Ovis aries: one gene and its partners. The protein of the gene in region 1 interacts with the protein of each later gene in a pairwise test. Links are inferred from orthologs where the notes say so. Each region holds a gene or a part of one and is shown in the gene's direction. Other genes may lie near its edges. The genes, in order: CCDC172, SMARCE1, FAM13C, HDDC3, TEAD4 and DCTN2.

The links.
Region 2: the proteins of CCDC172 (region 1) and SMARCE1 interact in binary tests that used the Homo sapiens proteins (3 or more experiments, as listed by UniProt). The two-hybrid records come from large-scale screens. The link is inferred for Ovis aries from reciprocal best matches to the Homo sapiens genes CCDC172 and SMARCE1.
Region 3: the proteins of CCDC172 (region 1) and FAM13C interact in binary tests that used the Homo sapiens proteins (3 or more experiments, as listed by UniProt). The two-hybrid records come from large-scale screens. The link is inferred for Ovis aries from reciprocal best matches to the Homo sapiens genes CCDC172 and FAM13C.
Region 4: the proteins of CCDC172 (region 1) and HDDC3 interact in binary tests that used the Homo sapiens proteins (3 or more experiments, as listed by UniProt). The two-hybrid records come from large-scale screens. The link is inferred for Ovis aries from reciprocal best matches to the Homo sapiens genes CCDC172 and HDDC3.
Region 5: the proteins of CCDC172 (region 1) and TEAD4 interact in binary tests that used the Homo sapiens proteins (3 or more experiments, as listed by UniProt). The two-hybrid records come from large-scale screens. The link is inferred for Ovis aries from reciprocal best matches to the Homo sapiens genes CCDC172 and TEAD4.
Region 6: the proteins of CCDC172 (region 1) and DCTN2 interact in binary tests that used the Homo sapiens proteins (3 or more experiments, as listed by UniProt). The two-hybrid records come from large-scale screens. The link is inferred for Ovis aries from reciprocal best matches to the Homo sapiens genes CCDC172 and DCTN2.

Annotation. Positions count from the first base shown.
Region 1 is NC_056075.1:36,318,834-36,322,333, forward strand, and holds part of CCDC172 (coiled-coil domain-containing protein 172), read left to right. Parts: intron 1-1,877; coding exon 1,878-1,979; intron 1,980-2,691; coding exon 2,692-2,794; intron 2,795-3,500.
Region 2 is NC_056064.1:40,602,566-40,606,610, reverse strand, and holds the start of SMARCE1 (SWI/SNF-related matrix-associated actin-dependent regulator of chromatin subfamily E member 1), read left to right. Parts: upstream 1-1,245; 5' UTR 1,246-1,290; intron 1,291-3,492; 5' UTR 3,493-3,537; coding exon 3,538-3,544; intron 3,545-3,720; coding exon 3,721-3,764; intron 3,765-4,045. UniProt on the Homo sapiens protein: Involved in transcriptional activation and repression of select genes by chromatin remodeling (alteration of DNA-nucleosome topology).
Region 3 is NC_056078.1:14,231,855-14,235,951, reverse strand, and holds the end of FAM13C (protein FAM13C), read left to right. Parts: intron 1-1,990; coding exon 1,991-2,114; 3' UTR 2,115-3,597; downstream 3,598-4,097.
Region 4 is NC_056071.1:21,044,047-21,047,660, forward strand, and holds HDDC3 (guanosine-3',5'-bis(diphosphate) 3'-pyrophosphohydrolase MESH1), read left to right. Parts: upstream 1-1,500; 5' UTR 1,501-1,523; coding exon 1,524-1,635; intron 1,636-1,956; coding exon 1,957-2,012; intron 2,013-2,119; coding exon 2,120-2,360; coding exon of another isoform or gene 2,361-2,422; intron 2,423-2,657; coding exon 2,658-2,788; 3' UTR 2,789-3,114; downstream 3,115-3,614. UniProt on the Homo sapiens protein: ppGpp hydrolyzing enzyme involved in starvation response.
Region 5 is NC_056056.1:212,620,794-212,624,293, reverse strand, and holds part of TEAD4 (transcriptional enhancer factor TEF-3), read left to right. Parts: intron 1-1,446; coding exon 1,447-1,586; intron 1,587-2,822; coding exon 2,823-2,996; intron 2,997-3,500. UniProt on the Homo sapiens protein: Transcription factor which plays a key role in the Hippo signaling pathway, a pathway involved in organ size control and tumor suppression by restricting proliferation and promoting apoptosis.
Region 6 is NC_056056.1:162,110,059-162,114,116, forward strand, and holds the start of DCTN2 (dynactin subunit 2), read left to right. Parts: upstream 1-1,258; 5' UTR 1,259-1,397; coding exon 1,398-1,433; intron 1,434-2,307; coding exon 2,308-2,376; intron 2,377-4,058. UniProt on the Homo sapiens protein: Part of the dynactin complex that activates the molecular motor dynein for ultra-processive transport along microtubules. In the dynactin soulder domain, binds the ACTR1A filament and acts as a molecular ruler to determine the length.

The DNA of each region.
Region 1 (3,500 bases):
CAAGATTGTTGTAAGTACTCATGAAATAATATTTAATTACATAGAATGCTACCTGGATAATAATTAAACCCTTAAAATATAAGGATTATACTTTTTAATTAGCTTAATTTCATAGATGAAGGAAATGAGGCTCTCAGAGATAAGTTGCTTTGGGTAGAGAGTGTAGGACAGAGGTTCTTCAGGCATACATATAAGCATACATCTTATAGGCAAACATCTGGGACGTTCATATATATATATATTCATATATATATATATAAATGATCAGGAAGGAGCACAATACAAAAACTAGAACTAGAATAAATGTATTAAAAACTGTTTTTAGATATTAAGGACAAGAAACTGTCCAAGGCTATGATTCCTAAGAGAAGGAAAACACATGAGGCATGATTACCTAAGCTTATACCTGGTTACAGTTTTTTGACAACAGGAGTGAGAGAGGGAACTTAAACAAAACACAGTGGCATGAATGAGTCGAGGATACAAAGACTGGAGTTCAGGGAGGCTGAGTTAGTTGAAATTTTCAGGACAACGTACTGAGAGGAAAGAACTGCACAGACAAAACCTCCAGAAATCTTCATAGAGGTTGCTTTGAGTCTTTGGCTATATATTATTCTTTGCATACATAGGGGAAAGTCCTCTAGACTGAATAAAGAAAAACTGCTGGGGAATCATAAGGTCAACAATTCTGTGAGCTCACACAAGACTGAGAGACATTCATGTTCCATCCTTTAAGAATAGAAAGAGCTCATTAAACAGAAGAATCCTGCCTTAATAGTAGGATTCAATTAGCCTTCGACCTAAGGCTACTCTGGATACACTCTAAATCTTAAAAGCACGGTTTGAACCTAATTATGTTACCTAACTGCATGCTAAATAAGCAGGTATCAACATGCTTGAGGGGAAGAGAGCAAAATTCAAACATCAACAAAATAGTAAACAAAATGTCTGGTATCCAACCAAAAATCACTGTATCTGTGAAAAAGAAATTGTATCTCATACCAAAAAGGAAATTAGGTCAATAGAAACATCTCCAGAAATCACAGAGATAATGAAATTCACAGAGAAAGACTTTTAAAATTGATATTATAAAAATATTCAGGACCATGAGTATAATAGAGATAAATAAAAGATATAAAATAGTAAAAAATTCAGAAAATCATTTGGCAAGATCCAACACCCTTTCATGATAAACACAGTCAATAACGTAGACATAAAAGGGACCATTCTCAACCTGATGAAGAGTATCTTTGAAAAACCATGGTGAATCTTATTTATGATGAAGGAATGAGAATTTCTCATCTAAAATCGGGAAAAGATGAAGATATTCATCCACTCCTAGTATTTGTATCCAGCATTTTACTAGAGATTTTAGCCTGGGCAATCAGGCAAGAAAAAGAAATACGAGACATCTAGATTGAAAATGAAGTAGTAAAACTATCTCTATTTGAACATAGCATGATCTTGTGTATGGAAATCCTAAGGAATCCATAGGAGAACTATTTGAGCTAATAAACAAGTTCAGGGAAGGTGGCAGGTTATTAGATCAATATATACAAGCCAAATGGACAATTTGAAAATTAACATTCAGTTTGCAATCAAAAAAGAGTAAAACACATTTAACAAAAGTTTAAGACTTGTATACAAAAACCACAAAAAACATTGTTGAAAGAAGTTAAAGGAGACCTAAATAAATGGAAAGTCATCTCAAGCTGATGGATTGAAATATCGAATATTGTTAAGCAGTACTCCCAAAAGTATATTGACCCTACATTGCTTACATTTTTACTACACAAGAAAGAGTTAATCATTCTTGACAGACATAAGGCAAAGCCAAAAATAGTTAAAATGTGTTTTTTTTGCATATTTATTTCTAGAAATGAAGTCAATGGAACATGATAGTGACCTGTTAAATGAACTTCAGAGACAAAAGAGTGAATTAATACAAGAATTATTTACTTTGCAGAGAAAGCTTAAAGGTATTACATATATGAGTCTTTGCTGATGAATATAGTTATATATCTATCATTTGTTGTTCAGTTGCTAAGTTGTTGTGTCCGACTCTTTGTGACTCCATGGACTGTGGCACACTAGGCCCTCCTACCCTTCACCATCTCCTGGAGTCCGCTCAATTCATGTTCTTTGAGCCAGTGATGCTATCTATCTATCTCATCCTCTGCTGCCCCCTTCTGCTTTTGCCTTCAGTCTTTCCTAGCATCAAGGTCTTTTCCAGTGAGTCAGTTCATATCAGGTGGCCAAAGTATTAAAGTTTCATCTTCAGCATCAGTCATTCCAGTGAATATTCAGGGTTGATTTCATTTAGGATTGACTGGTTTGATCTTGCAGTCCAAGGGGCTCACAAGAGTCTTCTCTATTATAGGTTAATATTATTCTTTCAAAATGTATTTACTCATTGAGATATAGGTGATGTAAAAAGGGGATTTTTTTTGATGTGAAAAAGGAATAGGTAAAGCACTAAATTGATGTGTTGAATCTGGTATTTTTAATTTCATAAATTTTAAGATCTTTTTTTGTGCCTTTAAATGCTACATTAAAGTAGAAAAATAAAAATCATTAGTACATGTATTTTACACAAAACACCGAAATTTAGAGCATTGTTCTTATGAATGAAGAAAGATAACCTTTATATTTAATTTTTTAAAGAGTATAAGAATTGTCTTAATTGTTTAGGTTTTGAAGATAAAAAAAATGGAGCCATTTGTACTACTAAATATCTAGAGGCAGAAAAAATAAAAATCAATGAAAAACCTCAAAATGATGCTGAATGCTTAAGGTAAGAATTGCCTATTATACTTTGATATAAATCTGGTAATTTTTAAAGTTGTCAAGTAGATTTCAACATAAAGCCAAATGCATAATTATTTCAAGATCATTCTGAAATATGTTAATAAGCAAATGCGTTACTGGTTAAAAACACATAAGTTTTAAATTGTATCAGGTTGATAATACTGAAATCAGTCTTATCGTTTCCTATTCCTCAAGAACTCTTGAGTTATTCACATCCTAAAAGATAAAATGTAGAATCATTTCCACAACTCTTTTTTCTATTATCCCTAAGTTTTTGGAGTGAAATGACTGAAATTATCTTTTTTGGTCCTTCTAGATTTCAGGGGGAAAAAAATTACAGTCTACTTTACTTAAAATCTGTGCTTCTGGTTTTGTACCTAAAGATTTGAAAATATATTTTCTTTATGGAATATTTAGATGTTTTCTGTGTATTTAGATAATGAAAGAATGGCTGAGGTCTGAAATGACATAGTTATATACCAAAGGAGTACATCTCCCCCAGTTTATTAATTTCATTGTTATTTCTTAATAATTCAGTGTTAACATTTGCTGGCTTAATTTTAAAGAGCTTCCTATACTTTCTAGGTTTCATGTAAGAAACAGAAACCTCATTACTGAATCTATGAAGAGGCAAATGAAGCCTTCTTTCACATAAATCATATAGGAAATATGTCCACTAGAGCTGAACAAAT
Region 2 (4,045 bases), on another chromosome or scaffold:
CCCTCTCTGCAGTGGCGCACGTCGGTCAAGTGTTTATGTATCCAAGGAGAGGCTGCTATCTAGTACATCAACGTGGTCATGATTTAGTGAAAAGAGTCCTGGACTAGACCATAGCCTGCCTCAATATAGATTTACTGAGCTTCTTACAATGGTTCAAGGCCTTACTGGGCACTGGCTATAGGAAGATGACCAATGCAGACCGCTGAATTTTTGCTTTCAAGGCTCTCATAGAGTACTGAGAATAACAAACACAGTCTGATACAATGTATTAGGTAAAGGCCATAATTGTTAATTTGGGAGGAGGAGGGGCGCGTGAGGCAGGGAGTTCCCGGAGGGCATCAGGGACAGAATTTGAGCTGGATCCGGAAGGACAGATGAGTTTAAACCCAAAAGTGAAGGACTGTCGTTCCTGGCAGAGGAAACCGAATGAGCCAAGGCGCTTTAGGACACAGACCCCTTGCCCAGCGCTGCAGGGACACACAACCGGGGGCAAGGAGATTTACATCTCCGGGCCTTGGCTCAGAAACCTGTGACAATTACACCAGCCTTGCGCTTGGGAACAGCTGGGAAGATCTGCGCTGCTTTCGCCAAAGCTCTTGCCCGCGGTTAAGGCAGGAAGCCCTGGGAGGCGCGCAGGAGGACGGAAACTGTAAACCCGGCTCTCCACGCCTCCATCCTCGGCTTGGTGAAGTATATACACTCCAGCTCCCAGAGAAAGAGTCAAGAAAAAGACCGGAAGGGAAAAAAAACCCAGAAACTCTCGGGGGCAGGGACGGGGGGCGTGCGCGGCCTGAGCCCGGCCGGGGTGGTGCGCGGGCCGCGCGGCCACAGAGGTTCCGGGGCTGGCGACCGGGCGCGCTCCCCGCCGCCTTCCGGCCCCGCGCGGGGAAGCTGAGGCCGCGCTCGCGCCCCCCCTCGGCTCAGCCTCGCGCCTCCCGCCGCGCCTCCCGTCCCCGCTCCGGCTCGCTGGGGGCCGCGCGGCCGGGCCTACCCGCGGCCGGGCCACCTCCTCCCTCTCCGGAGTGACGAATCGGCGCCCGGCTGGCAAAGTACTGACTTTCGGGGAGTTTTGAGGAGCGTATGGAGCCTGAAAAAAATCCTTGACTGTGCTAAACACCACCGCGTCCCCACGAGAACGCTTATTTTCCTGAAGAGAGTCGGGTGGGGCCTGGAAAGGAATTAAGAAGAGTGTTGAAAGTGCGAGCGCGGAAGCTCGGGACGCGAGGGGCGGGGCGTGCGCGGGACAAAGGGAAGCGAGGCCGGAGCTGCGGGCGCTTCTTCTGCCCGCGGGTGAGTGTTTCCGACTGGGCCCGGCTGGGTCGGGAGGGTGGAGAGGCGTGGGGTCCCGGCTTGGCTGGGGTTGCTGAGGGTTGCTGGGGTTCAGGCTTGGCCGCGGGACCAGGGCCGGGGGCCGGCTGCGGCCTCTTTGAGGCCTAGCGGAGCGAGGGTGGGGAGAGAGTCCCATCTGGGGCTCCTCTTGGGCGGCCAGAAGTGCCCCTTCCACTAACCCCACGGAAGTGGTCAAGGCGCTTCTGCATGCTCCTCTTCAGTAGAGTAGCTGGTAAAGTGCACCTACACATCAAACCAAACCGAATCGGTCTCAGAGGAAGCCCTTGGGGCAAGCTAAGCCCGTGGTCCTCACCCCCAGGAAGATGGTTTCCCCTTGCCCAGGCAGCGATCTGAGGACTCACGGTGTGGCTTGGAGTGAAAAGCGAAAGCTGGGCAACAGTTTGGCCTGGGTTTGAAACCCAGCTCTGACACTTCCTGACTCTGTGTCTTGAGCCAAGTTACTTATACTGAACGAGACTCCTTTTTTCCCTCTGTAAAATGGCAATAGCAGTACACACCTCGTTGGTAGTGTGACTGTTAAACCAGATGGTGTGAAAGTAGTAAGCCTGTCCCGTATAAGGTATTCAACAAATAACTTCTCCAGGATTTTATGCCAGGCACCGGAGATGCATACAGTGGTGGACAATTGTACGAGATCACTCTTGAAATTTATGGTATAGCAAAAGAGACCAGTAATTTTAGAGTGTTAATAAAATGTGACACACCTGGGAGCTTGTGGCAGATATTATCAGGGCCCCCCACAGCAAGGCCTACTGGATGTTGACAGCCCACCCAAGCTTGAGCAGGAAGGAAATCTGCATTAGACTCTGGTGTCCTGCATGTACCTTAAGGAGAGAGGGAGACCCAGGTTGGGCCATTGAGAAAATAAATGATTTCTTTCTTTCCACACCAGGCCTCTTACTCATAATGCTCCAGAAATGCCCTTAAAATACAAAACAGGAGCAAAAAAAAAATCATGTTTGTTTCTCATAATGTCGGATGAAAATACTCTAGTAGTCATAGAAGTTATTTGCCTTTTTTGTGAAAATGAATGTTCATCTCTTTGTACACATGGTGTGTAATGTATAGTGAGGTAAGGAACAAGTTCACGTGTGTGTGGTCATGTCCTGAGCTAGTGTTACTAGGACTGAAGTTGGTAAAAATTGAGCTAGGTACTGGGACAGCAATAATGAACTAGCTGGTCCCTGTCTCCATTCAGCCCCCATATTAGCAGGTGTAATATGATATTGATCTGTGTAAATTGGAGTACAAATGAGGAAACATTTAATTTTGTACAGATAGGTCCAGAAGTCTCCATTGAGGAGATATATTTTGAGTTGAGCTAAGAAAGATCAATAAGAGTTTTTTCCAGTAGACTCTCGAAATTTATTCCCAGCGGTTATGAAGCTGTTTACCATCATGTTGTTTTTTAGTGGCTCAGTTGTGTCTGACTCTTGCGACCCCATGGACTATAGGGTACCAGGCTCCTCTCTCCATGGGATTCCCCAAGGGAGAATACTGGAGTGGGTTCCCATTTCCTTCTCCAGGAGATCTTCCCAACCCCGGGATTGAACTCAAGTCTTCTGCGTTGGCAGGCGGGTTCTTTTACCGCTGAGCCACCAGGGAAGCTCCATTACTCCTATAAGAGAATGTGAAGTTTCTTGTCACACCAGTTACCTTTTCCACTGCCTTCAGGAGTAAAATGCTGTTTTACTAGAAAGAAGTTGTTATCCTAAAAGGAAGGCAGAGCTGTGGCTGGTCATGGAGCTGTCAGTGTCTGGTAGGCCTTGTTGAGGTAGGCCCCAATAATACATCATATTCTTTTGTCATTGTATTTTTACCGATTTGATTAAATGTTTACATGGCATCAGCGAAACGTTTTCCATACAAGAGGTGGCTCAGTATCAAAAAAAAACAAAAACTTGCAAGTACATGTCTAATTTTACTTTTTAATATCCCCTGTCATTTGTTTTAGTCATTTAATTCTGATCAACTGAGTGACCTAAAGAACTAGTAAAATATTTAAAAGGCTTGATTACTAGAAGATAATGTAATTTTACAAAGAAATATCAAACTACCCTATTCTTTAGAAAAACATTCTCTTATGCTTGCTGAGTTTTGATTATCTTTATTTTTCTTTTTTTTTCCTTTTTTTTATTTTAGTGTCTCAGATTCATTCTTAAGGAACTGAGAACTTAATCTTCCAAAATGTCAAGTAAGTTTCATTTTTTATATTTATCAATCTATATTAATAAGAGACTAATGCCCTAGCAAATGGGAATTCCAAAATACTCTCATTTTTTTTTCTTCAAAACAGGACCATTGGTAGTTTTGTTGCATAGTATTATATCTCAGTTGTTTACAAGAAGTTATTTATTTTCTTTCAAACAGAAAGACCATCTTATGCCCCACCTCCCACCCCAGCTCCTGCAACAGTAAGTTTTAATTTTCTTGTTAATGTAATAGCCAAGTCTGGCCTTGATACAAAAACCCAGATGTCTTCCAGTGACAGTCACTCAATCATTACAGCAACAGGATGAAAAATTCAGCTAAAAAACAGCACTTCCTACTAAATAAAATAACTCTGCATCTTACCTTGAACCAACCCCAACATTTAAAGAAACATACTACTGAAATGCCAACCTCCTATGCTCAGTTCTTTTTTTAATTAGAAATAAGTGGCAAGTTTAACACTTTTCTTGTTCATCTCTATTAA
Region 3 (4,097 bases), on another chromosome or scaffold:
ATGAGAAATGTTATGTGGTTGTTAAATTCAGAATATAAAACAATTTGTTTTCTTTTTTCCTTTACAAAATTTCTATACAACTTTTACATTTTTTAACCTATCCAAACACAGGCAATTTAAAGAGTTTGAGAACCTTCTGGTGTGTTATTAGTCCTGCCAAATGGGTCTGCAGTGGTACTTGGCATGCCTCTGACATCCAGGGAAGTTAGTCATGTTCTATGTATAGTATTTTAAATGCACCAGTGAGTGGGAAACCCACTTCAGATATGCTTACTACTTGGTTGAGGTTATCTGCCCTCTTGTGGTAATACACTTAAACTAAAGGCAGAAGCGGTGCCATATTACAAGTAAAATCAAATAGTCGAATGGCTACGAAATACAGATCTTGTTTTTCTAAAACATTTCATTGGGAAGGGTTACCTGTCCATAGGTAAAATAACCATGCAAATAGATAATTAAAAAATTTAATGTTCTATGAATGTTCTTGGTAAGAGTCATCATGCAAGAAGCATAGTTATCTAGGTATGACCTTAACAATTATGAGCCAGGACCTGTGCTAAATGCTTATGTATGTTTTATATAATGAGAAAAGTGGTTAAGGAAATACTTAGTACAATGCATTCTTGTTTATTAGATAAAGAGGAGTGTGCCGGACCAGAGATAATTGCATCATGAACTATTAGTGTTTCCCTATAAATTAGACTATTTCTTCACTTAGGTATGTTTACACAAATTAAGGTGGCATTTAGATACCCAGTTGGGATAAGTTTGGCCCAGAATACAGAATGGAGTCAAAGGAATTATGTTAGTCTAAAAGGAACTCTGGCTGTAGATTTGTATACTGTTCTGAGTTCTGAACTAGAGATTTCAGGGAAGACTCTTTATAGATTCCCAAAGAATATCGTTATCTACTGGTGTTGTTAACACTATATATACTGCCCTGAAATTTCTAGTTCAGAACTCAGAACAGTATTCAAATCTATGTGTACTGTTAGCTGTTCTTTTATTGGTAAGAAATATAACTTTATCAGTACTGGTAAAATAGAAGGGGTATAGGCTGTTTGCTTTTTACCCATTTTCAGCTATACTTATGTTACAGAGTTTATGTTATCTGTGTTTATATTCAATAGCAGTGGTGGTGACTTCATCTGGGTTTTCCAGTCCTTGTATTTCAAAGTCATGGGTGGAAATATTTTAAAAGCAATTGGCCATCTTTATTAACTAAGGAGATCCTGAACTAACTCTTGTCCTTTAGAAAACATATCCTGGCAATGTAAATTTCTGGGAAGGCAGATGATTTTAACTCCAGATGTTACCCAATTATCCTTCAAAGTAAATGTCAAGAACATCTGGCAGTTAGGAGGCATATGTATCAAACTGGGCATGATCCGTAGTCTAGTCTTAGTAGGATCAGTGTGCAAAGAACCACTACAATTTAGACTCAGATTTCTGAAAGGAACTTCTCTGTGACTCTTCTATACATTAACAGAGATAGGACTATAATTACAAGAAAGTTTAGAAATAATTCATGTTTGTAAGGTAGCTACTGAACTTTTCCCTCCTATTACCATAGATTTATAAGTTATTTCTGTTAATGTAATTTTCGTAGTATTTTTAGGTTGATATTTTAAACAACTATCACTATAAGGGCTGAATATTCTGCACAGGCTTGGATGATGGAAGAAAGACTAGGTAAAAAAATATCTTGAGGGTTCTGGTTTTTATTTCCCGCAGACCTTTCCTCTTCCCCAGTGTTATATGTCTATGCACTGGACAATGTTTTGCAAAACACTTATAATATTTAACTTCTCAGAGCACTATTACATTGAAACCTAGTAACACATGGAAGAGGGAGAGGAAAAAAGACTTGATGAAAAAATCTAGCGGAAATTGTTACCCTGTACTTTTCTCACAAGAGTTAAAAAAGGATTTTTAATGACTTGGTTCATTAATGATCTAATGCATTTATATATATATATATTTTTTGCAGAAGTCCACAAAAGGAAGATCGGATACCAATGGCAGATGAGTACTATGAATACAAGCATATAAAAGCCAAACTGAGACTATTAGAGGTCCTCATCAGCAAGCAAGATGTGGCCAAAACTATTTGAGGTTCAGGAAATGTTTGTGATCACTTTCACCTGTGATAAGGCAAGTTTATTTTCCTCTGCCGTTCTTGCTAAGTAGTATGACAACTGAAAACTGAAGCACTTTAGTGGGAGTATTAGCTGTTGTTAAGAATGGATGGCAAGTGTAATTATACATGAATAGAAGGGATTAAAATGGGAGAAAATACAGTAAGTAACATATAATTGGAAAATAAAATTCAGCCTTCTCCATGCCAAGGAGAAAATGCAGTCAGTATAATTACTTCAGAAAACATGTATTGTATCAAACCTAAGTAATAAAAAGTGTCCACCTGTTAAATGGACCACTGGTTAGAGAAAGTCTACTTAATGTCCAAAGACTGCTTATACTGACATACGGAAAGAGCATGATTTTTAACCCAATAAGAACAACAAAAGAAACTCATTTTACATAGAAAGGGATACAGTCATTAAGAATGTAATTTATTTGAAACTTCTAATAGATTTTTAAGTGATAAAAAATCTACTACCTTGTCCCTTAAGTCTGCTAGGCTTTCAGCACCCTAAAATATACTAGAATGTGTCACTGCTAATTTTTTATTTCTATATAAAAATAGCACATTATTTTATCTGTTCCTTAAAATTTTACATTTCTGATTACCAAAGTTCATTCTGATAGCATGTACTTTGTGAATTATCTTTGTTTATAATTGACAGATGTTTATATTAAAATAAAATATTGTATTAAAATTTGAAAATAGGTATTTTGGATAGATGTGTCTGTAGCATATAATCTAATGTGATCATAGTTATAATAGCTAATCTTTTTGTTTACTATAAGATATATAAACTATTTTTCCATTGGGAATATGTGTTTTTCTTAATGTTCCAAGGTCTATACTTTGTAAAGTCAAAAAAATTTCCCATGAACTATAGTTGTTACTCATTCTGTATAAAATGAAAGGTTTAGTACCTGTTTGCTGTAACACCTTGGAAAAGAAGCCAGGATACTTTATTTGCATCATTAACTTCAGTGTATATTGTTTTGTTATTTTGTATTAAACCACGTTTATTATTTTGCTTTTGTAAAAATAAGTAAAAGGTCCACATTTTCTCTCTCATACCAGCCACGTTTGTAGTTCTCTTTTCTGTAATGTTTAAGCACAATGGTGAACAAATTCACATTTTCATATAGTTTGGTTGGGATTGACTATTTCTGAAGCAGATGGTTTCAGAGGCTTACTGTTTTCTCTATAGTTACCTATATTTACCTGATATTTTATAACCTTTATGAATCAGAATAATGTCCTTCACAAATTTGTTTAATTAAAGTTATGTACTTGTAACAGGACAGATACACAACTATTTGAGGTTTACAAACTACATCTTTGATAAGGGAAATGGTTTCGTGACATGTATACAATTGCTATTAAGATGTAACTCTATATATTCTATAAGATTGTAAATATTTTATACAACAATACAAATAAAATATTTTTCTATTATATTTATTATGTTGAAACACAGTAGTTGTTTCCTGTTAGCTAATATAAATAACATAAATAACACTGTCAAACAACAAGTTGGAAGTGCTGACAATTCTAGGCTTCAAGATTTAACTCATGCTGCAATTACACTTTTTCATGCGGTTTGGAGTTATCCCAATATTTGTTCAGTAGATTAAAATGAGAGCATATTTAAACACCATTTATAAGCCATTATTTTGTATTTTACTAAAGCAGTTTATATAATAGTTTGGTTATGTTTGGCATAGAGGAAAAATAAAAACATTGCAGCATCTAGGCAAGAGGGTGTCAGAAACAACTCAGGACAGTTCATCTCTCAAAGTCGTGGGAAGGGTAGGGACTGGGAAACACTACAACAGCTCGGAAATCTGAAAAGTGATGGTTCGCTTTCGGTGACAGTGGCATGGGCATGCTTCAGTGGAAAACATCTGGGTGATGAAAATGGACAACAGAGGATCAGGGCTCCTACGGGAAGAAAGGG
Region 4 (3,614 bases), on another chromosome or scaffold:
GGAATGAGCCAAGTCGAGCCACTAGCCTGAAGAACAGACACGCATTTAGAACCAGATATGTTTCTCTCCACCCACTCTTAACTTTCAGGCTGCCACGGAAGCCATGGGAATTCAGCTTGTTCCATTTCAGGCCCCAGAGACCTTGTTTCCAGCGTTTGGGGCTTCCCTCTCTAACTTCTGCATCGTGGCAACCACCAAGACCAGCTGAAAAGCAAGAGCAAGTGCTCTCGTTAACTTGTCCCCTGAGTCCTCATCGGCCCCAGCTACCAGCCAAAGTACAAAAGCTGCTAATCAACTGGAGTAAACTTAGCAATCAGCCAACTCCACTTCACAGGGACAGCTCTTCCAGGGTCTCCCGGTCTCAGCAAACCTTATACTTCATAGGTACTGTCTGCTGAGAGAGGGGATTTCTCCAAAAGACCAGAGGTCACCAGCCCACAGTGTTGTGTTGCTGTAGTGTCTATGGAGGCCTGACAACAAGGTCATGCTCTCAGAACAACGGTGACAACGCTCAGAAGCCCAGGGGCCCCACAGCAGTGCCTGGGGACTGAAGCAGGAGCCCTCATGGCACGAGAAAGACATGCAGGTTTTGTTCCTGGCACCTGAGAGCAAAGAAAACAGTTCCGGAGGAAACAGCACCACGGCCTGGGAGTCTCTCTGAAACCATCACGGAGGGCTCCCACTGTAAGCTCCAATTTCCAGGTCAGACCCCAGGGGCGGAGAAGGCAATGGCACCCCACTCCAGTACTCTTGCCTGGAAAATCCCATGGACGGAGGAGCCTGGTAGGCTGCAGTCCATGGGGTCGCTAAGACTCGGACATGACTGAGGGACTTCACTTTCACTTTTCACTTTCATGCATTGGAGAAGGAAATGGCAACCCACTCCAGTGTTCTTGCCTGGAGCATCCCAGGGAAGGGGGAGCCTGGTGGGCTGCTGTCTATGGGGTCGCACAGAGTCAGACACGACTGAAGCGACTTAGCAGCAGCAGCAGCAGACCCAAGGGATCTTCTGGGCCCTAGTGTGAGGCTCCTTTGCCCATAGCAACCAGGCCATTCTTGCAGGGAGAACTATTTTTAGAGCACTTTGAGAATGTTCAGAGCATTGGCAGCTTGAAAATTGTCTTTTCATGACGGGAGAGGGTCCTCCCCAGAGAAGTTCTCTCTGGCCCAGAGGCTACATGATTTGCTCTCCCTCCAAGTTACCACAGTCCTCTGCGCCTTCCTGCTCTGGACACAGTGAGGCCACTGTCTTCTTTTCTGTTTTCCTCCTTCTCCCAGGCTGCGGGCTCCCAGAGAGCCAGGCCATATTCTTCATGCACCCTCGGCAAAGCACACTGAACTAGCAGCTGCGAAGCTGTGGGCAGCAGCTTCCTACACCCAAGGTCCACCCATCAGACCCGGAAGAACGCTTCCGCACCAGACTCCACCACCTCCCGGACCTCCGCGGCGCCAGGGGGCGCTGTGGACGCTGGGTCCACGCTCCCCGGGCGCCTAGGACCTAAGGTACCCGCCCCACCTGCGCGATGGGCTCCGAGGTGGCCCAGCTGCTGGAGGCTGCTGACTTCGCGGCCCGCAAGCACCAACGGCAGCGGCGGAAGGACCCCGAAGGGACCCCCTACATCAACCACCCTATCGGTGGGCGCTCCGCCGGGGGAGCCACGGCTGTAGCCTCCAGGGGTTGGGGACCGGGAAGGGAACGCGGAGGGCGTGCAGCTCCTCGGGCACCTAGTCGGTATCTAGCTTTGTGCCAGGCACAGTTCGTGTTTAAGACTCACAGCGACCTGGGGCGGTCGGCATGGCTGTTCTCTGTACAGTGGACATCCAAAAAAAAAAAAAAAAAAGAGTAAAGGACTTGCCCAAGGTCACCCCGCTAGTGAGGGGCAGCCACCTCTGGCTCTGCGAACCCACATCACGTGGCCCTGAACTCCCTCCTGACTTCCTGCTTTGCCTCGTCAGGTGTGGCTCGGATCCTGACCCACGAGGCGGGGATCACTGACATTGTGGTATTACAGGTAACTTTCCTCCTCTGCTAGGAGGCTGGGTTGGGGATCAGGGGCCCCAATCAGCTTCGGGCACCCCTTGGCAGGTGTCCCAGGACTGAGTGGGAGCCTGTCCGCAGGCAGCCCTGCTCCATGACACAGTGGAGGACACAGACACCACCCTGGATGAGGTGGAGCTGCACTTTGGGGACCAAGTGCGGCGCCTGGTGGAGGAGGTGACAGATGACAAGACTCTGCCCAAGCTGGAGAGAAAGCGGCTGCAGGTGGAGCAGGCACCCCAGAGCAGCCCCGGAGCTAAACTGGTGAAGCTGGCAGATAAGCTGTACAATCTGAGGGACCTGAATCGCTGCACCCCAGAGGGTACGCTATCCCCCACCTGCTCTGAGGGGAAAAGGAGGGGTAGCCATCTTCTGAAGGCACAGGTTGGTCAGTTCCCCTGGAATAAAAGCCCAAGTGTTCTTGTTGATTCCTTAGACTAATCTTACTAGACCCCTCTGCTCTTTCATACAGTAGAAATACAGAAGCTGGGCCAAGGGGAAGTTTTCAGTACAAATCCATCAGAACTCATGGCCCTGCGCCAAGCCCCTCAGGAACTGGGCAAAATCCAGGGCACTCCTGGACATCAACACGAGCGGTTTTCTGTCCACTCTTATGCAGGATGGTCTGAACACCGAGTCCAGGAATACTTCGAGTGGGCGGCACAGGTGGTGAAGGGGCTCCAGGGAACAAACCGACAGCTGGAAGAGGCTCTAAGGCAGCTGTTTAAGGAGCGGGGGCTGACACTCTGAGTGGTGCTTGGAGCCATTGTTGCCCAGGCCAGAGAAGACGCATACTTCAGCCTTTCCATGCCTCCCAAGCTCCCTCCCTGGTTCACTCAGCACAGATATTAGAGACCAAATTCACGTGTCTTTTCTGAGTCTGAAGATCTGCCAACTAAGCTGAGCCCCAGATTGTGGGATGATGTGCCCCATCCATTCCTAATGCATTCACTGCCCCGCTTCAGGCCTTGGGTTTGCTTGTTTTGCACGGTGGGATCTCTGGCCCCTCAGGGACTTAGGCTTATCTATAAACGCTGGTCTGAAAGTCATTATGCAAAATAAAACATTTGGATAAAGCTTCGAGTTGCTGCTGCTCCTCCTCCAGCCTCCCCAGTGGGGAACCGATGTGTGTGTGTCAGGAGGAGATATCTGCCCTTCAGTAGGGCAGGGTTCCAACTGTGTGCCCTCTGGGACAGGTCCCTCAGGTTGAGGGCCTGAACCCCTTGGAGCTTGGTTTCCTTATCAGTGGGATAGGTTGTGTAATTATCAGGGTTGAGCTAGGTGACATGCCTGACACATAGATGCTCAGAAATTGGTAGGCTTCCTCACTGAGGAAGTCAAGTGGGAAAGAAGTTAACATATGTATTGGAAAGAAGTGCCACCCTGCTTACTGGCAGATCTTGCTGAGCTCAGCAGAGTCCTCAGCAGCAACATGATAGGGCCTGTGAGGGGGGAGGGTCCCTCATACCCCAGGTTGCCACGGAAACCTGCTGCGGTGGGCATCCCACCCTGTCTCACCACCATCCCATCTCTGATTCCTTTTGTTGCTAAGCCACAAGAACTTCTGGGTGCCCCA
Region 5 (3,500 bases), on another chromosome or scaffold:
CCTAACTCACCCATCATCTTAAAGCGTCTTTCTCACCACGGTGCTTCCAGCTGAGAATCCATTAGAGGCTCCCTGGTGATTGTCCCTCTCCGTGCACCCGGGCACCATCCCGGGCTGGTGTCTGTCCTCCGTGTGTTGGGCCACGTCCAGTGTGCCCCCACTGGGCAGGACTCGGGAAGCTGCCCTTGGACAAATGAACAAGGGATTCAGCTCACGCATCCAGTGTGTGAGCTGGTGTGTCCAGCGTGGTCCTCTGCCCGCTCCTCTGCCATCTCTTCTCTGTCTCCTCCCCGAGCTCCTGACCTACCTGCCTCGGCTGCCCCCTCGTCCTGTCTCTTACCAAGTCCTGCAGTCTTGCTCCCTCCATGTCCCTCCTGTGTCCCCTCCTCTTCACTGCCCTCTTCTTTTCCCCCCTTGAGAAGAGCCCACGAGGCCCGCGTCTCTGGCCAGCACTGCCCCTGCCCATTCCTTCGTCCACAAGGAACAAGATGTGCAGAAATGCTCAGCCAGTCGCTCCTCGGCCCTGCTTAGAATCCTCTGTCACCCTCCTGAGCTCAGGCTGAAACCTGTACTCCCCACCCAGCAGCCAGGCCCCAACTCTCAAGCCTCATTTCCAGCTCCTGCACAAACCTGCTGGATGGAACCTCCCAGCCCACTGAGCGTCTGGCCGCCCCGTGCCCTCTGCCTGCAGCCCGTTCCCCTGTCTCTGCTGCTGCCTCCTGCTCCTGCCACATCACTTCTTTTTATTTTTTTATTATTAAGTTTATTTTTAATTCGCGGATAATTGCTCAAGATGTTGTGTTAGTTTCTGCTGTACAACAGTGTGAATCGACCATAAGTATACATATATGCCCTGCCACCTGAGCCTCCCTCCCACCCCTGCTGCATAACCTCTTTAAGCATCACCTGCGGAAAGCCTTTCTGACCACTGCCAAGGTGGACCGGGAGCCCCCCTGCAGCGCTCAGTCTGTTTTCATCACGTTCGTTGCTTCACTTAGTCACAAACCTGCATGCCCTTCTGGGCCAGATGCTGTCACAGGGGCTGGGCAGAGACTTGTGTCATTGTAGTCATTTGTCCAGTTATCTTCAGGCTGGACCTGAAGCGCCTCCAGAGCAAGAACCAAGCGGTGCCTGCCCTGGAAGCCCTGGGTCCAGCAGGCATTCCACTCGCCCCCTGCCCCCAGCCACCGCCGTCCCCTTGCCCCCCACAACCTGTCCCCGGTCAGCATCACCTCCCTTGAGAGCCATCCTGTGCCCAGAGGGGACTGAACTGTCAGGACTGAGCCCCCTGCCAGGGCTGCCCCTGGACCGCTGGCCAGTGCTTTGCCCCCACCCCCATGCCTGCTGGGAGGCACACAGCAGGTTCCGATGGGTCTGGGGGTCTGGGGGAGGCTGGTGTGGGGAGGCCGTGTGGGCCGGCTCCCATGTGCCGTCCACCGCGTGCAGGGTTCGAGTCTCCGGCAGGACCTGCCCCGTCGCCCTCTGCGCCCCCCGCACCCCCGTGGCAGGGCCGCAGCGTGGCCAGTTCCAAGCTCTGGATGTTGGAGTTCTCTGCCTTCTTGGAGCGGCAGCAGGACCCCGATACGGTAGGTCCTAGCCGTCGCCAGCTGGATTTTCTCCCGCCCCATCCTCATTCCTGGAGCGTGCTGCTCCCCAGCCTCCTCCAGCTCCAATTTTGCCTGCTCTGGCTTTCTCTCCCTGCCCTCTGCCCTGCTCCACCTTGGGACTGAATTTAGGTTCCTGTTCCTTCTTATCCTCTCCTGGTTCACCTGTCCTCCCCCTGGCTTCTTTCTCACTGGACCTTGCATCTCTCCCTCCCTTAAGCCTCCCCTGGTCTCTGTGCCCCACCCTAGTCCCCAGTCCCTCACGCCCTCCTTCCTCCCATCTAGTCACCTCTCCCTCTGAAGACGCTGGTCCCAGCCCCACCCCAGGCTGCACTGCGCTGTCCCCTGTGGCTCCAAGGAGCCGTCTGTCTGCCGCACATCCTCGGGGGCGCCAGCAGGAGCGGCAGCCCACCCCCACTTTGAGCCCTTCTGTGTCTCCATCCTGGGTGGCCCGCGTCACCTGCAGAGTTCAGAGTAGCACCTGGCCGGGTGGACAGGAGGCCAGAGCCTGGGAATCTTCACTAATCATTTCAGTTTAACACTTTTTTTTTCTTAAACGCTAAGATTTCTCGAGGTCCTTATTTTTTCTCAGTTTATTTTAAATTGGAGGATAATTGCTACACTGTGCTGTGTTGGTTTCTACCATGCAACAACGTGGATCAGCCCGCATGCACACACATATCCCCTCCCCTCCTGAGCTCCCTCCTATACCCCCCACTCCCAGTTTGACATTTAGAAGCTTATTTTTCAGGTGAGGAACTTGTTAGTGAGACAAACCCTTCCTTGGAAGCCCAGCATGTATTGTGAAAGCAGTGGATTTTCTCGGATTGCAGCAAGGGGTTCCCAGCCCCCGCCCCCCACTTCAAACGGGGGAAACACCCCTTTTCTGGTTCAGTGGTCTTCCATCACAGATGAGATTGAGGGGGTCCAAAGATAGAAATGACCCGCCTAAGGATATTCAGTGACTGAGCCACGACTCAGAATAGTGCAAATAGCGACCAACGCATGCCAAGCGCCTGTGGGGGGCCGACCTGCCCCAAGTGCGGGATGCCTGTTTACTCTGCTGTGCACCCAGCCCTTCTTCCTGCTCCGTGTCACCAGGGGGGAGACTGAGGCCCTGCCGTGGCATCCCTGCTCTGGGCCCCTGGCTGGGCTCGGAGCCCCAGGGCTGGTCCGCCCGCCCCGCAGCCCCTCAGACTAGCTCTCCTGTGCCCACAGTACAACAAGCACCTGTTCGTGCACATCGGCCAGTCGAGCCCCAGCTACAGCGACCCCTACCTCGAAGCCGTGGACATCCACCAGATCTACGACAAGTTCCCCGAGAAGAAGGGCGGCCTCAAGGAGCTCTTTGAACGTGGACCCTCCAACGCCTTTTTCCTCGTGAAGTTCTGGGTAAGTCTCTGGTGGCCTCTTCCTTCCTGCCCTAGCTCGGCGATGACCAACTGCCCCGAGGGAAAAGCCTGGCCAGGGAGGCCTGGCTGGCAGGAGGCACTGATGGGAACCCTGCCCTGGTCGGGGGAGACAGCAGCGTGGGGGCCCTTCTCACCAGCACCTGCCTTCCTCCACTCAGAGATAACAGTCTGTGTTCTAGCCATCCTCAGATGAGAGCCACCCTAGACCCCCATCTCACAGATGGGGAAACTGAGGCTTGGAGTCAGCAAGGGCCTGGCTGGGAGACCCCCAGCCCCAGCGAGCCCGGCTCCTGCAGTCCCTCTTGTGACGGGTGTGCTGCGGAAAGTCAGGGCCGTCGGGAGACTTTTATTAGGGTGTTTCTTCTTCACTGGGCTTCCCAGGTGGCACTAGTGGTAAAGAACCCGCCTGCCGAGGCAGGAGACGTAAGAGATGCGGGTTCAGTCCCTGGGTCAGGAAGAGCCCCTGGAGGAGGAAATGGCAACC
Region 6 (4,058 bases), on another chromosome or scaffold:
AGTACTGTATGTCCTTCTGTACTTTTCTACTAAGTAATGATGGTAATAGAGAATAGATTTGGCAAATACTTGCTTGGCAAAATAAAAAAGTAGCAATACTATGCCTATCCTCAGAAAGGTTTGATATTGTTTTAATTGTACTAAACTGTGAAATTCAAAAGTCTGAAAACCATTAGTGAAGGGATTAAGAGCACAGAGGGTGCTACCAAGTGTTTATTAACTTGTGATAGAATTGCCAGATTCAAAAACAGGATGCCTGGTTAAATTTGAATTTCAGATAAAATAGTAAAATGTGTCTATTTTATGTATATGTCCTACATATCCTATGGGACATACTTATACTATAAAGACTATTAGTTGTTTATGTGAAATTCAAATTTAACTAAGAGCTCTGTATTTTATCTGACAGCCCTAACCTGGTTAGTTAACTTTCTCATTCCCAACACGATTAAATCTCTATTAAAGTTACTTATTGTTGTTTCAAAGCCCTGGCTGTGCCTTAGCAAACCTAGTTGTGTTGTTTTTACCCAGTCATTTAATTTCTGGGAGCTTGACATGGCTAGCGGTTAGAGAGCATCACTGACTCAATAGATATGAATGTGAGCAAACTGTGGGAGATAGTGGAGGATAGAGGAGCCTGACGGGTTACGGTCCATGGGGTTGCAAAGAGCTAGACAGGAGTTGGGAGAAGGCAATGGCAACACACTCCAGTACTCTTGCCTGGAAAATCCCATGGATGGAGTAGCCTGGTAGGATGCAGTCCGTGAGGTCGCTAAGAGTCGGACATGACTGAGCGACTCACTTTCACTTTTCACTTTCATGCGTTGGAGAAGGAAATGGCAACCCACTCCAGTGTTCTTGCCTGGAGAATCCCAGGGACAGAGGAGCCTGGTGGCCTGCCGTCTGTGGGGTCGCACAGAGTCGGATACGACTGAAGCGACTTAGCAGCAGACAGAGTTAGCGGCTGAACAACAAATTTATCCACCGAAAAACAGGAATTGTAAAAGCTCTTTCACAGACTCGCTATAAAGACGAAAGAAAATAAGTTATGTGACACAGCTCCCAAAGCGCGTTAACGTCGGTCCCCACCCAAGCTGGGTGGGCCAAGACTGCATATCCCACAATCCTAGGCGGCGGTTTCCTGCCATTACCTCATTCCCGGCCTCGTTCTCGCCAATCCCTGCCTCTCCAGGGGTGTGGTAGCGGGCTGTTCTCGCGACTTTTGCTTCACCCTTCCTCTGTACTACTCCTGTCGCGAGACTTCCTGCTCCTCCGCCTCCTCCGCCGCTCCCTTTGCGGCCGCCTTAAGCCGGACCGGGACCCATCCTCTCCCCCACCCGAGCACCGGCCCCGGCTCTGCCGAGGCCCCGGTCCCCCAACCCTGCCTCGCCGCCGCCATGGCGGACCCTAAGTACGCCGACCTTCCCGGCATTGTGAGTACACGGCCGGCCCTGGCTCCCCAAGACCGCGCCCCCAACCTCCTAAAGACCCCTAACAGACACCAACCCGTGACCTTTCCCGCCTGCACCCCTCTTCAGCCCCGAGGGCTCCTGCCGCTAGCTCCCTGACCGGCCCCAGCACCCTTCGGACTCCGACCCGACTGGGCTGGGCTATGCGAAGGCCTACAAGGCCCCTTTCCGGCAGTCGCCGGTTTCTCGGCCCAGAAATGGTCTCTAGGCACTTAGCACTGTCCTCTAGTGCTTATTACCATCCGTGTCTACACCTCCCGTGTCTCCCAGATATTCCCATAAGACCCTCACCCCCACCTCAGACACACAGACCAAGCCATTTGGTGATGGCCTTCACTCTGCAAAGAGTGAGGAGGTTACCGTGACAGAACCCCAGATAGAGAACTCTTGTCATCTAGGGAACCTCCTTCCCAAGCCCGGCACATGCCGGCATGTACCTCCCTTTGTGTTGCCTTACTTGCATTCACGGGGTGGGGGGTTGGAATAGGACCTTGTGTACTAAGGTCCTGAGTCACTCTCAGCCCTTGTGCCAGGGTAGTGTGTGCAGGGCCTAATGATGGCTCCTCTCCTACTTCTGATTGCCCAGGACCCGTCATTCTTCAGATTCAGGGCAACATCTTTGTCATCACTTAACACTCACCATTTACCATCAGTCATCTCCACTGTTATCCCCACCCCTGTTAAGACATGGGAAATGACAGGCAGTTCACCCGGCAGGTGAAAGAAGGGGCGGAATCCTGGCATCACAGCCTGACTTCTCTGTTAACTTGTTCAAATGGAGTGGGGTCAGGGGTGTTGCTGGGTAGTGAGGTTGGATGGTCACTGCTTCTACCTGCAGGCCAGGAACGAGCCAGATGTTTATGAAACCAGCGACCTGCCTGAGGATGATCAAGCAGAGTTTGATGCGGTAAGACTATGTGTCGCCTCAGGACTCCTGTGGATTCTGATCTCTCTCCCAGGCAGGCCCTTTCCCTTTGCTGGCGAGCCACAGCAATAAGCGGGTATGCCAACCCAGCCTGGGTGGTATGTAGGTTGCAGGACTTGCAAATGAGCAATGCCAGGAAGGAGAGTCAGGTCAGTGGAATTAAAACTAAGAGGCCTGATACTTAGGCCTTTTAAATAAAATTGAAATATTTCAAAACAGGCTGGGTGCTAGTGACTTAGGCCTGGTAGTGCTAGTCCGTGGTAATGCGTCATGAAGCCTGCGCATTTAAAAAGTGCATGAGTTTAAGACCTAGACCTTCTATTTCATAAAATATATCTCTCATTCAATGTTCATTAACATCCTAACAAGCTAGACTTTGAAGTATAGAGGAATACTATACGTGATTTTACGTGAGTATCCAGAATCCACTAGGCAAGGAAAATGAATTGGAGACTTCAGAAAGATAAGAGAACTAGTCAGAGCAGAAGGAATTTGAAGAAGAACATAAATATTTCATATCAGCAGAGGAGAGGACTTGATAGCACTTTCAGATTCAGGAAGAACTCAAGAGGAAAGAATTAGCTATGGACACATTTTAACCATAAGGGAAACCACTTAGCATTGTTTATTGAATGTGTTCATTTTGTGTTGATTTTTGTTCAGTACAGAGGGAAAAATGTCCCTTCCCTCAAAAATCCCCCAGACTAATGAGAGAGTTAGGATACATATAGGAAATATGAAAGAAAAAACTGAGTGAATGAAGTGAACATAGTGGAAACCCTGAGTGTAAGTGCCAAGGGGAGCAAAGATCTGTTCACATGTCTTATAGGATGTATTTTAGGTTCTATAATTTGCAAGGAGAGCTGGGCTAGGGTCACATTGATGGTATGAGATCTCAAAAAAGTTGTGACTAAGAGTCAGTGGAAACAGGCTCTGTATGTGTGTCTGTGAGTCCTGTGGCTACGTTTGTGGGGCTGGTTAGTTCTGGAGAATGCTGGTTGCTGGCTTATAATGTATGGCTTGGCGTACTCACTTATTCCTTATTTGATTCCCCCATGTGGAAGTGGTTCCTTCTTTGTGGGGAACACCTTCCTTGTCCCCTCTCTGAGTGGTGTGTTCTTGTTGCTTCTGTACTTGCTGGCATGTCAGTCTGTCCCCCAAACTTGAGTATCTGGAAATAATGCAGGTGGTGTCATTGCTCAGGACCTAGGTTTGCACCTTCACTCTAAGAGGTATCTTATTAAGAAGCTATTTATGACTCAAAGGGCAGAAGTATATATATATATACTGAGGACTCCATTCTGCTACCATAGTTCAGAGACTGTTCAGCTCTAGCCTAGGGCTCTATCTATAAAATATCAAGCCTTCATGGTGAAATAATGAATGGAAGTTTATCCCTTTGTCACTGACCATGATCAAACAGGTAATATAGCAGTCCCGTTTCCAAACCAAAAAATAAATTGTAATTTTCCATTCGAAATCATGGGCTGTCTCTTAATAAGAAGAGCATGACCTTCATCCCAGGCATGGAAGAACCTGACTCTTCTGCGCTGATTGGCTGTTTCTCCCTGCTGAACCTGAGCAGCCTATTTTAGTAGCATCTAGCGGGGTGTCTGATGGGCTGATGTTCATTTCCTGCAGCATGTAGCCAGAATACCAGTATA